Danio rerio: one gene and its partner. The protein of the gene in region 1 purifies or fractionates together with the protein of each later gene. This does not show direct contact. Links are inferred from orthologs where the notes say so. Each region holds a gene or a part of one and is shown on either strand. Other genes may lie near its edges.

Region 1 (7,934 bases):
TATAATATAATATAATATAATATAATATAATATAATATAATATAATATAATATAATATAATATAATATAATATTACAAAGTTATATGTCCAAAATAAACATACCATGGTAAGTTTATGATTTGTATAAATTTTTGGATGTACTCAACACATCTTTATAAAAAATGTATAAAAATGTAAATACATCACTCTAATTCTCTACATACATTTTCTTTTTGTTTCTGACACATTTCTTATTAAAAGCCTCCAGAAGAGCACTGGGAATAACAAACTGCACTAAAAAGCAACTACAGAAATAGTTCTTGGTAAAATACATCATTTGAAGTTTTAGTAACTATATACAGAAAGCCTTGGAATGCATAAACCAGAGACATTTGAAGTGTTTTAAATAGTTTAGTTTAAAAAACAACATGCAATTATAATTTCATCCCAGTTTATTTAAAACAGTTAAACAGGATATTCATTGAAAAACAGAATAGTGAAACATTCGGCACATTAAGATTTGCATTTAAAAGTTGTATTTATTACATGTCACTCCAACTTTCAGAAGCATGTGATTCTTCAGGAAAGAAAACATTTATGCTAAAACCTATTTATTTCTGTGTAGAAATTAGGATACATATATTTAGGATGCTTTGTAAAAAAGAAAAAAAAAAAAATATATATATATATACATACATATATATATAATATATATATATATATATATATATATATATATATATATATATATATATATATATATATATATATATATATATATATATATATATATATATATATATATAATATAGTTTGCATGTTCTCCCTATATATATGTGTTATAGTTTTTTGTATATCTAAAAATATTTCAAAAATTAAATTATGAAAATTGTGCAAAAACATTCCATAATATACTATACACTCACCGGCCACTTTATTAGGTATACCAGTCCAACTGCTCATCAATGCAAATTTCTAATCAGCCAATCACATGACAGCAACTAAATGCATTTAGGGGTGTAGACAAGGTCAAGATGATCTGCTGCAGTTTAAACCGAGCATCAGAATGGGGAAGAAAGGTGATTTAAGTGACTTTGAACGTGGCATGGTTGTTAGTGCCAGATAGGCTGGTCTGAGTATTTCAGAAACTGCTGATCTACTGGGATTATTTACGCACAACCATCTCTAGAGTTTACAGAGAATGGTACGAAAAAGAAAAAATATCCAGTGAGTAGAAGTTCTGTTGGTGCAAATGCCTTGTTATGCCTCTGGTATGCCTTGATACCAGAGGTCAGAGGAGAATGGCCAGACTGGTTTGAGCTGATAGAAAGGCAACAGTGACTCAAATAACCACTTGTTACAACCGAGGTGTGCAGAAGAGAATTGCTGAACACACAACAGCAGCAGAAGACCACTCAGGGTGCCTCTCTTGTCAGCAAAGAACAGGAGACTGAGGCTACAGTTTGCACAGGCTGACCCAAAATTGGACAACAGAAGATTGTAAAAATGTTGCCTGGTCTGTTCAGTCTCGATATCTGCTGCGACATTCAGATGGTAAGGTCAGAATATGGCATTAACAACATTAAAAAATGGGTCCATCCTGCCTTGTATTAAAGGTTTAGTCTGATGGTGGTAGTTAAATGGTGTGGGGGTATTTTCTTGGCACACTTTGGGCCCATTAGTACCAACTGAGCATCATGTCAACGCCACAGCCTACCTAAGTATTGTTGCTGACCATGTCCATCCCTTTATGACCACAGTGTACCCATTTTCTGCTGGCTACTTCCAGCAGAATAGTGCCCCATGTTATAAAGCGTGAATCATCTCAGACTGTTTTTTTGAACATGGCAATATGTTCACTGTACTCAAATGGCCTTCATAGGCACCAGATCTCAATCCAATAGAGCACCTTTTGATGTGGTGCAACAGGAAATTCACATCATGGTTGAGCAGCCGACAAATCTGCAGCAACTGCGTCAAGCGATCATGTCAATATGGAACAAAATCTCTGAGGAATATTTCTAGTACCTTCTTGAACCTATGCCACAAAAGATTAAGGCAGTTCTGAAGGCAAAAGGGGGTCCAAATCGGTCCTACTGTAGTAAGGTGTACCTAATAAATTGGCCGGTCGATGTATCATCATTTTGAGGTTTCAAAGCCCTGGTCCTCATCTTAAACATATGCAAAGACAAAAAAACCTCGCATAAACACATGTATACAAATATAGTCTTATATAACTTGTAAAACACTAAAGAACTTTCATTTTTACCTCGACACTCTTTATGTCACTATTAAAGAAGAGCAGGTTAATGAGATAATCAGAGGAACCACAAAAAGAAAGACAGAAGGACAGAGAAAGAGAGAGTGTGGCTTAACCTCAGCTGAAATGCTTTCTTCTTGCGTTTCGCATAAACACAGCTTCTCTCTCTTTACTCGGCCCACTCATATGTTTCTATTTAAGGCTTGGAGAGCAGTCTACCCTGATTGGCGTTTCTCTCTCTCTCTCTCTCTCTCTCTCTCTCAACCAGATGGGAGGAGGGACAGAGTAAGAGAGAGAATTCAAGTGAAAAAAGAGAAAGGGAGGGCAGGAGAAAGAGGGAGGGAGGCCTGTTCTTGCTCTCCTGTTGAAGAAAAACTTTCTATCCCTCCACTCACGAGTCACGTCCCCTACAGTAAACAGCTCTCTTTTTTCCCTTCCTCCCCATTTCCTCCTGAAAACCTTCACTGTATTATGGAGACCCGGCATCACCAAGAGCCTACCGAGCGCTCGAGTCCCTGAAGGATCTTTACCTCGTTTTGCTTTTTTGCAATTGTCCGTTTCCCCCATTCAAATGCACGTCCAGCGAGGGCGAAGGTTCGTCTAAATGGCCTGTCTTTGCAGAGCATGCAGGAGTCTGAGTTACGCTAGGTTGCGGAGTGCGGATGGCGGTGTACCGGGGTCAAGCCACGGGTCGCTGGCAGGGCAGGGTTGGCAGGGGGAGCGCGGGACGGTGGCTGACAGCTTGTTTCTTCCCCTCGCCGGCAGGACTGGACAGCAGTGAGCCCATGGTGCTGGAGCAGTACGTGGTGGTGGCCAACTACGAGAGGCAGGAAAACTCGGAGATCAGTCTGAAGGCTGGAGAAACGGTGGACGTCATTGAGAAGAGCGAAAGCGGTGAGTCCCTTACACACACACACACAAACACAGGAGCTAATTGGCTTACCACGTGGTGTTTATTGGCGAAAGCTCGTGTATACACAAACCACAAGCATTCAGAGTCGCCTGCACACATGAATGCTTTCAGACGCTGTTCTGATGCACACACACTCAGAAATAAGGTACAAGGTCTGTCACCAGGGTGGTACCTTATCAAAAGGTACACTTTTGTACCATACAGGTGGACATTAGTACCTTTAGGGTATACTTGTGCACCTTAAAGGCTCACTTTGTACCTTTAAAGTATCACATTTGTACTTTGTAAATATTAACATGTACCTTTAAGGACTTGTAAGGAACAAAAATGTCCCCAGTGACAGATTGTGTACCTTTATATCTGAGAGTGCACTTCTTCTTTGATCTATAGCTTTTCCTTTGGTCTTTGTCCTTAAGATCCCTTGATTCTCTCTTCTGACACCCCCCCCCCCCCCCCCCCCCTCACAATGTAAATCTACTGTCTGGCTCCACCTGGAGGTGTCGTATGGCCAGTTTTGTTGGCGGTTGGTCAGACAGAACCCCCTCCTCACCTCTGGAATGGAGGCCAGATTGATGTGGAATGTCCATGAGATAGGCATGAGAAGTTTGTGGGTTGAAACATGTGCTAATGGATAAGAGTCACCATTGTGAAGATTAACAACAACAAGTTAATTTAGCCTTGAGTGTTGTTTTTTTTGCCTTTGGTTTCTGTTTTCCCAGATCAATGATCTTGCTAATGCTGTAAATGTTCAAACTATGTGCAAACCTTTTATGTTAACATATCTCGTAGCCTTGCATAGTAGAAGTTGAACATTGACTCTACTGAGGTTATGAACTTTGTTTCTTGTCACGCTTGCTGAACTCTTGAAAGTAGGATTGCTCATCCAGAGGGCTAGCAATGATAGGCTTTCAAGAACTAGCATCCTACTGTTGAAAGTGTATACAAATGTTAGTGTGAGATAATGGAAGTCATTATATTATCTTGAAATCATGAGGAAGAGGGTGGGGAGGATTAGTAGGAGTTGTCAGGAGTTATCAAGATGAGTAAATATCCAGTAACCCCATTGGAACTCACTGATAATAGAGCTTGACCTTCTGGTATCATCTATCATAACATAACCATCTGTCTAAACTAGTCTAGACTATGGCTGCATTCGAAACCAAATACTTTCATACTATACAGTACGCTAAAATCAGTATGTGAGCCGAGTCGTTTGTCCGAATTCATAGAGTTCGAAAATCAGTATGCGAGAAGAAATACCCGGATGACTTACTACTTCCGGCAAGATTCTGAAGTGCGCATTCCATGCACGCTGCGCTATCCCATGATGCCCCGCAAGAGAATTCATGAATGGGACTGAAGCAACACAACTGATACAGGTAGGTCATGTGACCATGACAAAATAGCGGATGTAGTATTCCATTCATACCTTTCACATTCATACTGTGTAGAATGTACTTTTCTAACTGCCGAGTAGTACGTTTAAATTCAAATGCAGCACCAACTGAATAGGCGGTTTCTTACGCAGCATATGTCTAAACCAATCTTAATAGGTGTTCAATATGAGACATTGATATTGGAAGTTTGTTTGCTGCTAAGTGTTTTTTTTCTTTATTTTATTTAAACATACCAGCAAATATTAGCTATACTGAATGTGAAAGATGCCCACTGTAAATAGTTTGTCATTTTTGTCAGTATGCCACATCTAGTGTAGACAGAAAACCATGCAACAGGAGTTTAAACTGATGAGGTTGACGAATTTGACGAAACTGACGAATTTCACATGACACAGAAGTGATAAATCAAAACCAAACCAATGTTTGGTAACGTCTGAATATGCACTGTAAAGGCTCCACCTTCTTTTGTAGCAGTTCATTTACATTTATCAACACAGGCTCATTGTGAAAACGTATTCCCATATACATTTCTGGAGAGCACGAATTATGTAGCCAGAGCAACGTATGGCTGCATTTCGTCTTTAAAACGAACGATACAGGGCGGTATGGAACCATAAACAGCTTCTGTTTCTTTTCACGCTACCGGCTGACCACTTACCTCGGTGTAGATGGCTATTCTGCTGTTACCAGTTTGCCCAGTGGCTCGCCTTACGCATAAGTGGACTTGAGACGCAGAGAGGAGTTGACCACAACAATGTGGTTTGAGTCCAGTGAGAACGGTTCCAGAAAGCAGGCAAAACAAAAACAAAAGACAAAACATTAAATAAACTAGTAAATAACAGAGAAAGAATGTGGTAAAATCTGAAAATGTGGTAAAAATCAGGCTAAGGCTTTTCCTTTCTGGATTGCTTTTGAAAACACTGTCTGTTGGGTTTAGAAAAGGCGGTGGGCGGTGTAATGTTTGTGTTTAACTCTAAGCCAATGATGTTATATAAGCAGGACATTCCATGTTCCTATTGGCTAGAATGAGTGTCAGTCAAGTTCCTCAAGGAAATGATAGAGAGAATAGGAAACAAGGGAACGCATGCGATGCTGTAAGAAAGCGCTAAGAAAGCGCTATGTTCTGAGTTAAGTTGATATTAAAAAAAACATACGTTGTTACAGCCAGCCTGTGAGTGGTCTAATATTCAACTGACACAACATGGTGTCAGAATAAACGGATGACAAACGAAGATGGATTCAGCAGGAGTCCCGATGCCGATTATGAACTGGGAGGCTAATAACCTGCCCGAGTCATGGCGCAAGTTTCAACAGCAAGCAGAGCTAATGTTCAGCGGACCCCTAAAAAATAAGGGTGAGGATGAAAAATGCAGTTATCTTCTCCTGTGAGTGGTCTAATATTCAACTTACACAACAGGCGGATTAATATGTGCTTTTGAAAACACTATCTATTAGGTTTAGGGAAGGCTGTGGGCGGGTTAATCAATGCTTTTGAAAACAATATCGGTTGGGTTTAGGGAAGGCTGTGGGTGGGTTAATCAATGCTTTTGAAAACACTATCAGTCGGGTTTAGGGAAAGGGGATTTGGCGGGAATCAGTCAGTCAGTCAGTCAGTCAGTCAGTCAGTCAGTCAGTTGTCAGCGACCTTTGGTGGATTCAGGCAAGAACAACAGGGATGAATGGCACTTGCGAGAGAAATTTGAGATCTGCAAAAGCGTACACAGCAGCCTCTGGTGGATTTGCGAAAAAACAGACTGCAAAAACGTACCTCCTGGGAGGTATTTCGTGTTCTCCAGAAATGTATACATGGGTACATATCAATAATGATCCTGGATTGGCATTTAAAGAGACACACATAGAAACAGCATGTCTTGCTTCCACTTAAAATAGCCCATCTACAAAAATAGTTTACTAAAATCTGTGGAGCATTTTTAGCTGACATTTATAGAAACATTATGGGGGCACTTATATTTTGTCTTGTAAAAAGAGCATAATAGCTCCTCTTTAATAATAACAAAAGAGATTCTTCCTCAGGATGTGGATGTCCTTGAGTAAAAAACTCTTGGCTTCCTTGGCCACAGTTAAACTCCAGCTGTTTTACAGTGCAGGCAAAGCATGACAACTTTGCTTGAGTCGAGAAAAGATGTACCACGCAAGGCCACAGGATTAATGAGTTGGAAACAGAAGCAGAGAGAGTCTAAATGAGAGAAACGAACAGAATATAAACACAGAATCATCTGCAAGAATGCATGTTTGAGCTGTTGAGAGTCAAATGGTGACTGAATTGTTATTTTTAAAAGGATAGTTCACCCAAATTGAACATTTACTCAAGTTGTTCTAAACCTTTATGAATTTATTTCTTCTGTTGAGAACAAAACAAAATTTTCTGAAGAATGTTGGGAGAAAACAGCCATTGTAGGAACAAAAAATACCATTGAAGTCAATTGACATTCGTTAGTATATCTTCCTTTGTGTTCAACAGAAGAGACACTCAACCAGCTTTGAAACAAGCGGATGGTGAGTAAATGATAGTGAAATGTTTATTTTGGGGTGAACTATCCCTTTAAGTGAACCGTCGCTTTAAATCTGCAGCCTATAAGCCAACTCCTGGAGTGAACTGTCTGTCCTTCGTTGACTCCAGAATTCATCAGATGTTCAAAGCGTTTATTGAAACTGAAGATGTGCAGCATCAGCTTGATATCTTGACACAAGTTGCCCTTCCTCCAACATCCAATCTCTTAAACAGATTTCCATATTTTGTACTATAGTATTAAATGACAATTCAAGTGCCGTTCAGAGTGTATTTTTTACCATTGGATATCATTCAAACCAACTTTTTAATGTGGCAAAGCTGCCTTTATAAGAAGTGATTGGCAGAAATAGGGCTGCTCTGGCTTCCCTCTCTAGGTCATGGAGAGGAAACGATGGAAAAATCCCCCTTGTCCTTAGTTTCATTACAGGCTAATGGATCCAGCAGAGTCTTACAGAGCGTTTACAGTGTCACGAATCCCAAACCAATACTAGCAGAAAGCGTTCAAAAGTTTTTGTTGCATGTCTGTAATATAGATAGCACAGTCAAGAGTTTATAAATCAGCCTGCTGTTTTTTTAGCATTATTTTAGGCAACTCTTCCATATAACAAAATAAATACAAGAATTATTAGTGGAACTGGTCGGAGGTCAGTAGCATTTGATTCCAGTGAGGGTAAACCTGACATGGCAATCTTCTGACATGTTGTCGGATATCTGCTTCAGATGCTGCTGTTGGTCCACGAGTTGTTTTGTTTCTTCCATTTTTGATTATATAGTTTAAGTTACTGTAAATACACTTTTAGGCTCTAAAACACAGATTAGCCGTCCATCAAATTATTTTTGTTTTCAGTGAA
Region 2 (7,934 bases), on another chromosome or scaffold:
ACCCTGGTTTGGTGTGGTTTCTTCCAGGTGCTCTGGTTTTCCCCACAGTCTAAAGACATGCGCTATAAGGAGAATTGGATAAACTGAATTGGACAGTGTGTATTAGTTATCAGTGTGTATGAATGTGAGTGTGTATGGGTGTTTCCCAGTACTGGGTTGCGACTGGGAGTGCATCTGCTGCGTAAAACATATGCCGGAATAGTTGGCGGTTCATTACGCTGTGGCGACCTGTGGCGAAATAGAAACTAAGCCGAAGGATTTTTTTTTACAGTATTATTGTTCAAATCAAATCCAATTAAATCTCTCATTGTTTTGAGGGATTGTTATGTGTTGTTTCTGAGAAAAAAAAAGCTGTAATCATGGTTGTAAAAAGTTTTGTGAATCATCAATGTTGGTCTGTCTTTTAAAATGACTTGCATCGCTTTTAAGTAATTGTTTTATTTTCTTGTCAAAGCCAGTTTAATTCACATTTCAATCTTGATTTGAGCTCACGGTATCATTTATACTCATCTATTATATCACAAAACTCTGACTATGAAAGAGAGAGTGGTGTATTTTAAACTCAAACTAAGCAAAGCAAGCCTTATTTTGGCCCAATCCTGCTCAAAGGAAACCAATAACTTCATTGGTTGTGCCAGACCATCGGGCATTTATTGAGATTCTACAAATCACTCTCTCTGTCTGTCAGGCTCATCTTCATCCAGTCCGCGGCTCCTAACCAAGAGTCTGTCCCTTGATCCAGGCCCCTGCCTCGGAGCCCACGAGACCCCACAGCGCCTCTGCTCTGACCCCGGACCCTTGGAACCGCAGCACTGCAATGGCACAAGTGAGAACGGCCCTCAGGACGTCCCACCTCCACCTCCCAAAACACGGCCACCTTTACCTGGGCCAAAGCCTCAAGGTGGGTTCTCTAAGGCTATGTTTACACAGTGATGTAGCCAAAAACGAGATGTTTTTTCTAGGGCTACACAATATAAATAGTTTCAGCATCGATATTGCAGTGTGCGAATCTACAATAGTTACATTGCAATGTCATTGCAAAACAGCAATGTTGAGTTGGGATTATAATTTAAACCATAGGGGCAAGTTTGTTGCTTCAAAGACAATTAATTGTAATTATTTACATAATGAAATCGGTAGTCAACATTTGAAGTTGAAGAAAAAACTGCATCAAAGTAAGAATTGGTAATGTTGAATAGTTTTAGGACGACTTTGATTTTTTGATCCAGTCTTGATCGAGGGTTATTCTACATTTGATTATTTTCTTGCTGTTCCTTAATACTGAAAACAATAAAGCACTAAGTACATTTACATGGACACCAATAGTCCAGACACCCCAAGTTACGAAAAGTCATTTCTGGGGGAGAAAGCAATGATTTCCAGGAGGTTGACGTATCTGAAGGGGACGTATCTGAAGAGCGGAGGGGTTGCACAGAGAGGGGTGGGGGGTGCGGCAGAGAGGGGTTGGCAAAGTATTTGAGGACCAGGTGTGAGATGTGCGATTATCATTATAATTATATCCGGGAGATTATCATTTGTTTGTGAGCATCCGGGAGTCTCTATGTATTAGCGGGAGATTCCTGGAACCAGAGGATGTCTGAATAATCCGATATTAATACTATCAAGACAATACTCTGATTAAGAGTCTACCATGTAAACAGCGATTTTTGATTAATTTAATCCAACTAAAGCCACAATCGAACTAAACAGAAATCGAGTTAAGGCATGTGGAGTATGTCGATTTTAGTCGCATTATTAAAGTGCAGTACAGACATGAAACACCACAATCAAACTATTACTATCGTCAAAGTCTCTTTGAAGCAAGTAATTTCACTTTCACGTTTTTAATAATTTCCCAAAAGTTGATCATCCATACTGAAATGACTGAAAACACAGTGGCTGTACTGAGTATGCGATAAGGTGTTCATTAACTTTTCAGCTCTTGGAAATGTTGCAGCAATATGATGAGGAAAAGTTTTGTTTTTTTAAATTGGATTAACAGTGCGATGGAGCTGTTTCTGTGAGTAACACAGGAGTATAAAAGTTGCAGAAGCATGAGAGACATTAGACTGAGAGACATGCCAAAACAAGTAAGCTCTAAGTAAACATTGTCTTTTGAAGAAAAGAAATTTTGAGCATGTACAGAGTGAAATTAATCTTTAACAATGCTGTCAAATAGAGAACATCCAAAACAAGTGCTGTACAATGTCATCCACCATTTTAGCTGAGCTGGTCACGTGACTAAAATGCATTTGAAGTAGGGAAATGTTCTCGAGCCAGGATTCAAACTCGGGACACCCTGATGTGCTACTATGCACTATATGTCATTGCAGTAACCACTAGGCTACTGCGCCGACCAACTTTCAGTATTTGATGTCAATATGACATTGGTTTAAGATGTTGGCTCAACGTTGAATTTCAGTCGTCCAACGCAACCTAAAATCAACCAATTATCAACATCATTTGATGTCATTATTGGACAACAAAATAATGTCATTATACACTGACTAGACATTGAATTTTGGTCACCCGACTTCACCACCTAAATCGAACCTAAAATTAACGTCTTACATCAACATAAACTGCTGTTGAAGTTAGCAGGGAGAGTTAACCTAAAATTAAACATCACCCTCTGTAAAGATTCGCCTAACTAACAAGTTGATACAATTTACCATACTGATCTCACAATATATATATATTTTTTTTTACAAAATTAGCTGACAATTTAGAAATGAATAGAGGCCTTTTTTATTTCTCAAATGCTGCACGTTTATTTGTAAAATTAAAATATATTTTGTTAAATAAGACAACTAAACTACATTTTTAAATGAAATTCATCAAATAAAAATATATAATTCAAATAAAATACCTTTAATTTAAACAATCTAACTCTAACTTTTCTTATCTTGTTTTTATGTTTATATTTTATTTTTTTAAAGATAAGATATAAAGATATGTATATATCTTTGTTTTTATAAAATAATATATGAATTGTTAATTGTATTTTGTTTACCCTTTATTTAACCGAAACAGACTCTCTGAGATTATTAGTCTCTTTAGCAGGAGTGTCCTGGCCAAAATGAACAAAAAAGATTTTACAGACTTCACAGGACAAACATTAAGAATACCTAAAAAAAATACAAATCATAGAAACACCCTCCGTTTGCTGAGCAATTCACTTAAAATTATCCAAAGAGACCCATTTTTGTTACTTAGACTGAAGAGTATTAATATACGTTAAAGCCTTCTTAGCCAGTTAAGTGCGAACAAAAGGAACAGAGAGAGTATTACAATTCTGAACTGCTGTATTTCAAATTTAATGGAGTTTAATGTGGAGTACAATGATAAGTAATTTTTTTCTGATTTAAATAAGCATTTCAGATCATAACAAGCGTAATAAATGTAGTAATGCATACATTTTTTCTGTTTTCTCGTTATTTTAATGTAATTTAATGAAATAAATATATATGTAATATCAATATATTTTTTAAATAACCAAAATGAGTGAATGATTTGAACTTTTATTACTATAACAATAGTAGTGCATGTTTTGTAATGTACATAAAGGATATACAAAACCTTTATCTATCTACATAGAAGTCATTATTATTTTAATATTATCTGTATTTTAAATTGACCTCATGAACCAATTAATTGTGATATAAAATACAATATGCAATTAGGATGCATACATAAAAGTACAGTCTCTGCTGATGTTCCAGTTAATATCTGTGTGTCTCTCTGTGTTGCGGTCATGTGATTGTGCACCAGTCTCACTTTATTGATTTCTGTATTGATCTTGTCTCGTTCAGTGCCCCCGAAACCCCCTCATCTACAGCAGCAGAACGCTCGACGGCCCCGCCCCCCAGACAAGCCCCTCCCACCGCCACCACCATCCCGCCCACTGCCAGCCGACCCCCGCCAATCACGTGCCACCATGCCGAGGGCAGAGGGAAGCTCCTCCCCCACTTGTGTCCTTTCGCTCATCGAGAAGTTTGAGAGGTGAGAAAGCAACACAAACAGACATTACTGTACGGTTTATTATTCATAACTACAGTCAGTCATGAGTGATGATATCTCCGTTTGTTGATCATAGGTAAGCTCATTTTCATTTGTTTTATGTGCGATTGATTTGCTGAATTTTAATGGGAAGAGGTAGCCACTGTTTTTAGTAGTACTAATGCTGTTTAATGTTTGTCTTAAATGTATGGTATAATATATATGTTGCAAATCTATTATGCTGCAGAACAAATCACCCCGAAAGGGGACAATAAAGTTTACAGTAATATATTAAAATATTAAAAAATATTATATTAAAAATATTTATTATATATATATATATATATATATATATATATATATATATATATATATATATATATATATATATATATATATATATATATATGTAAACAAGAGACTAAATCTTTCATTTTGCTGAAGAAAATTTTTTTAGTTTTAGTTATTATATTATATTATATTATATCATATTATATTATATTATATTATATTATATTATATTATATTATATTATATTATATTATATTATATTATATAATTTAAAAGCATAATCATATAAAATATATATCACATATATAAAATAAATAATATATTATATAAAATACAGATATTTATATCAAAACATAAAAAATTATAATATATATTCATATCAAAATGAATAGTTCAAGTCAAAATATTAAATGTGATTTAAACAAAATGTACTTTTTGTACTTTTTCAGAGATTATGGCTATTTTGGTAATAAAATGGCTAATAATAATAATGATGATAATAATATATTTTTTATTTACTTTTGTTTTAAATTTAAGGTAAATTAAGATACAATTAAGAAGCATAAAATATTAACACTTTCCAGACAATATAACTATAGATTAACTAAAGGTAAAGGGAGATGTGAGTACAGTTGCATAAGAAATTCATTCTTTTTTTTAAGCATAACTATTATATAGATATAAAATTTAGTAAATCGTTTGTTACTTGAGCTATTTAATTCTTGCAAAACAAAATGTATCGAAGGAGCAGTTTGTCCTGGGATATCTTGACTTTTTTTTGGGAATGTTTCAGTAAATTTTTTAATTTAAGGTAAAACAAAAAAGTAAGTAGAATTGCAGATATTAATACAGATATTAATACTTTTTTCTTATTGTTAGCATGAATCTTACATTCTTATTTACATTATATTTATATTCTTTATCTCATATCATATTTCTTTAATATGTTTGTATTTATTTTTAAGTCTTAAGCAAATTAATTTAATCTTATTTAATATAGTTTAGTGTAAAAAGGTTTTCAGTGACAAAAATATATATTATTTACATTTATTTTTATATTTATTTTATTAAAATGAGTTTATTTAATACATTTTATTCAGCACAAACATGTGTTTATTACATGTGTTTTAGATATTTGTAAATACACATATCAAAAAATGTTTCGCGAAGTCATCCACAATATATTTATTTGTGCTTTTTTTGTGTTTAATATTCAGGGAGCAGATAATTGTGGTGCCAGATATCACTGGGGGCGTGATGTGTACCCCGCGGGTCCCGGATCAGCAGGCCACTCCTGGGTCACTTAGTCCTCAAACATCAGAGTTTATCCTGCCCTGCACATCCCTTCAGGAACCTCTAGAGGCGCCGCTGGCAGAGGACGAGCTTGAGAAAGAAGAAAAAGAGGAGGAAGAAGAAGAAGATGTAGACGAAACTGAAGAAGATGACAGCGAGCTTGGGGCGTCCTGCTCAGATAAGCGTCTTTCCATGGAATCAGGCTACGGCGCTTCAGATAAACTGCTGGACAACATGGAGATGACAGCCAACCAATCAGAAATCCCCTCTGACCGATTGTCCCTCCCCCCAGCGCAGATGGACGGGAAGCTGGCCAATCGGGACAGCGGAATCGACAGCATCAGCTCGCCTTCACACAGCGAGGAGCTCTGCTTTGTTGGGGACGAGGATCGGGTCGGTCATGAGCGGGAGATTTGTCCGTGTAGCCCAGGACCAGGGATTTCATGTAGTTATGTGGAGGGTCCCGATGAAGAGGGGGCCGGCGGGGAGGAGGCTGGCAGAGACTCAGAGGGAGACAGTGATCTGGAGGAGGGCAGTGGAGACGAGAGCGAGATGAACCCCATGGCTCTACAACCTCTGCCCAAAGCTGAACGACAAGACTCCACTGAGGTCAGAAGGGTGCTTTGTTAATGCCATATACCATATCTACATGGCTATACTCACAGTGGAATAAGTAAATGTTGAACATGTGTGGTTTATTTATAAAATAATTTCGAGATGATCACATGCTTATGATCAACACGGCTGGCACCTCTGTAATCTGCTCTATAATAGAGCATTATAAATAACCAAAATTTTTCACTCCGGTTATCTTCGTCTTGAAGCTTCCCCCCTTCCACTCCTACTTCCCACCCTTTTTTTTCGATATGGCGACACGGTGGCCCATTGGCTAGCACTGTTGCCTCACAGCAAGAACACCGCTGGTCCAACCTCCCATCAGGCCGATTGGCGTTTCTGTGCGGAGTTTCTATGCTCTCCCCATGTTTGCGTGGGTTTCCCCCGGGTTCCCCGGTTTCCTCCCACCGACCAAAAACATACACCATAGCCTATCAACTAAACCAAGTTATCACCCAGGACAAACTTAGTTTACACTTCTCACACGGCGACAAGCAGGGGAGTTCTCGAGACCCACCTGAGCTCGAACTCCCCTCTCGACCCTTCTGACGGGAGGGAGCCCCAGGCTCGAGGATATTACGAGTTCAGGGCTCTCTCCCGGGATAGCATGACAATTCAGCTCTATTGATTATAAGCCAAGTGTGAACTCTCGAAGTCAGCATTTTTCTCAGAGAACATATTTCTAAAGGTGCTGTTGACTTGAAATTTTCACCGGAGGTTGATAACAACCAAAACAATCTGTATATGAAAAGAAAACAAATCTAATTAATTTACAAATTAAGTTATGCTAAATAAAATGAAATGACGCAGGGAAAAAGTATTGAACACATGAAGAAAGAAAGGTGTAGAAAGACTAGACAGCAGCTGAAATATCTCAGTAGTTCTTCAGCAACCCTCTGCACTTCCTCATTGGAAATGAATGTCAGCTGCTTCAGTCCAACATCTACATTATAAGGTATTATAAGTTGATAAAAGTTAAAAAGTATTAAAAGTTGGTAAATCAGTCAGCGCCAGTGGTACAGTGGTTAGTGAGTCAACACATGCACTCCGGTGCTCGTGGTGACCTGAGTTCGATTCCACCTCGTGGTCCTATGCAGATTTTTTTCCCCTCTCTCTGCTCCTCATGCTTTCCTGTCAATTCTCTCTAATGTCCTATCGAATAAAGGTGAAAACCCCTAAAAAATAATTGAAAAAAAGTTGATAAATCAATGAAGAAAAATTTAGGGCCCTTAAAAAGCATTTAAAAAGTCTTAAATGCTATTTTGCATGTCATAAAATGATATATAATTTTTGATTATGCAATGTTGTGTGCTAAAGTTTGCCTGAATTAAATCTACGAAAAACAGCAATGTTTTCTCTAGGATTTTTTCCAGCTGTGGCGGCAGACCTTTTACTTAAATCTACCAATTACCTATGCCGTTATTTCAATGACAAATGGAGAAATGTTGTGAGCGCAGTATTAGTCGAGATCGCATTTATTTAATACGAGCATGCAAATCTTTTGGCTTGCGCGCCGATTTCCTCTGCACAAAACCTCTTGCACTCCCCCTCAAATATACGCTGCTCAAGCGCAGATCTTCTTGTGCGCTCTCAAATAAACACTGCTAAAGTGCAATTTAGCGTGTTTATGTAGTGAGTATGTGTTCAACATTTATTAGATTTGCTTGGAATATTTATGAATGTCTCCAGGACACATCAATGCCGCTCTGTAGGCCTATTGAAGTAAAGTGAAACGG

The links.
Region 2: the proteins of sh3pxd2aa (region 1) and fgd1 purify together in Homo sapiens (affinity purification with mass spectrometry; 3 studies listed by BioGRID and IntAct, with this or other methods). This does not show direct contact. The link is inferred for Danio rerio from reciprocal best matches to the Homo sapiens genes SH3PXD2A and FGD1.

What each region holds. Positions count from the first base shown.
Region 1 is NC_133176.1:50,954,219-50,962,152, forward strand, and holds part of sh3pxd2aa (SH3 and PX domain-containing protein 2A), read left to right. Parts: intron 1-2,629; exon of another isoform or gene 2,630-2,834; intron 2,835-3,005; coding exon 3,006-3,134; intron 3,135-7,934. UniProt on the Homo sapiens protein: Adapter protein involved in invadopodia and podosome formation, extracellular matrix degradation and invasiveness of some cancer cells. Binds matrix metalloproteinases (ADAMs), NADPH oxidases (NOXs) and phosphoinositides.
Region 2 is NC_133183.1:9,283,040-9,290,973, forward strand, and holds part of fgd1 (FYVE, RhoGEF and PH domain-containing protein 1), read left to right. Parts: intron 1-688; coding exon 689-901; intron 902-3,812; coding exon 3,813-4,002; intron 4,003-5,507; coding exon 5,508-6,192; intron 6,193-7,934. UniProt on the Homo sapiens protein: Activates CDC42, a member of the Ras-like family of Rho- and Rac proteins, by exchanging bound GDP for free GTP. Plays a role in regulating the actin cytoskeleton and cell shape.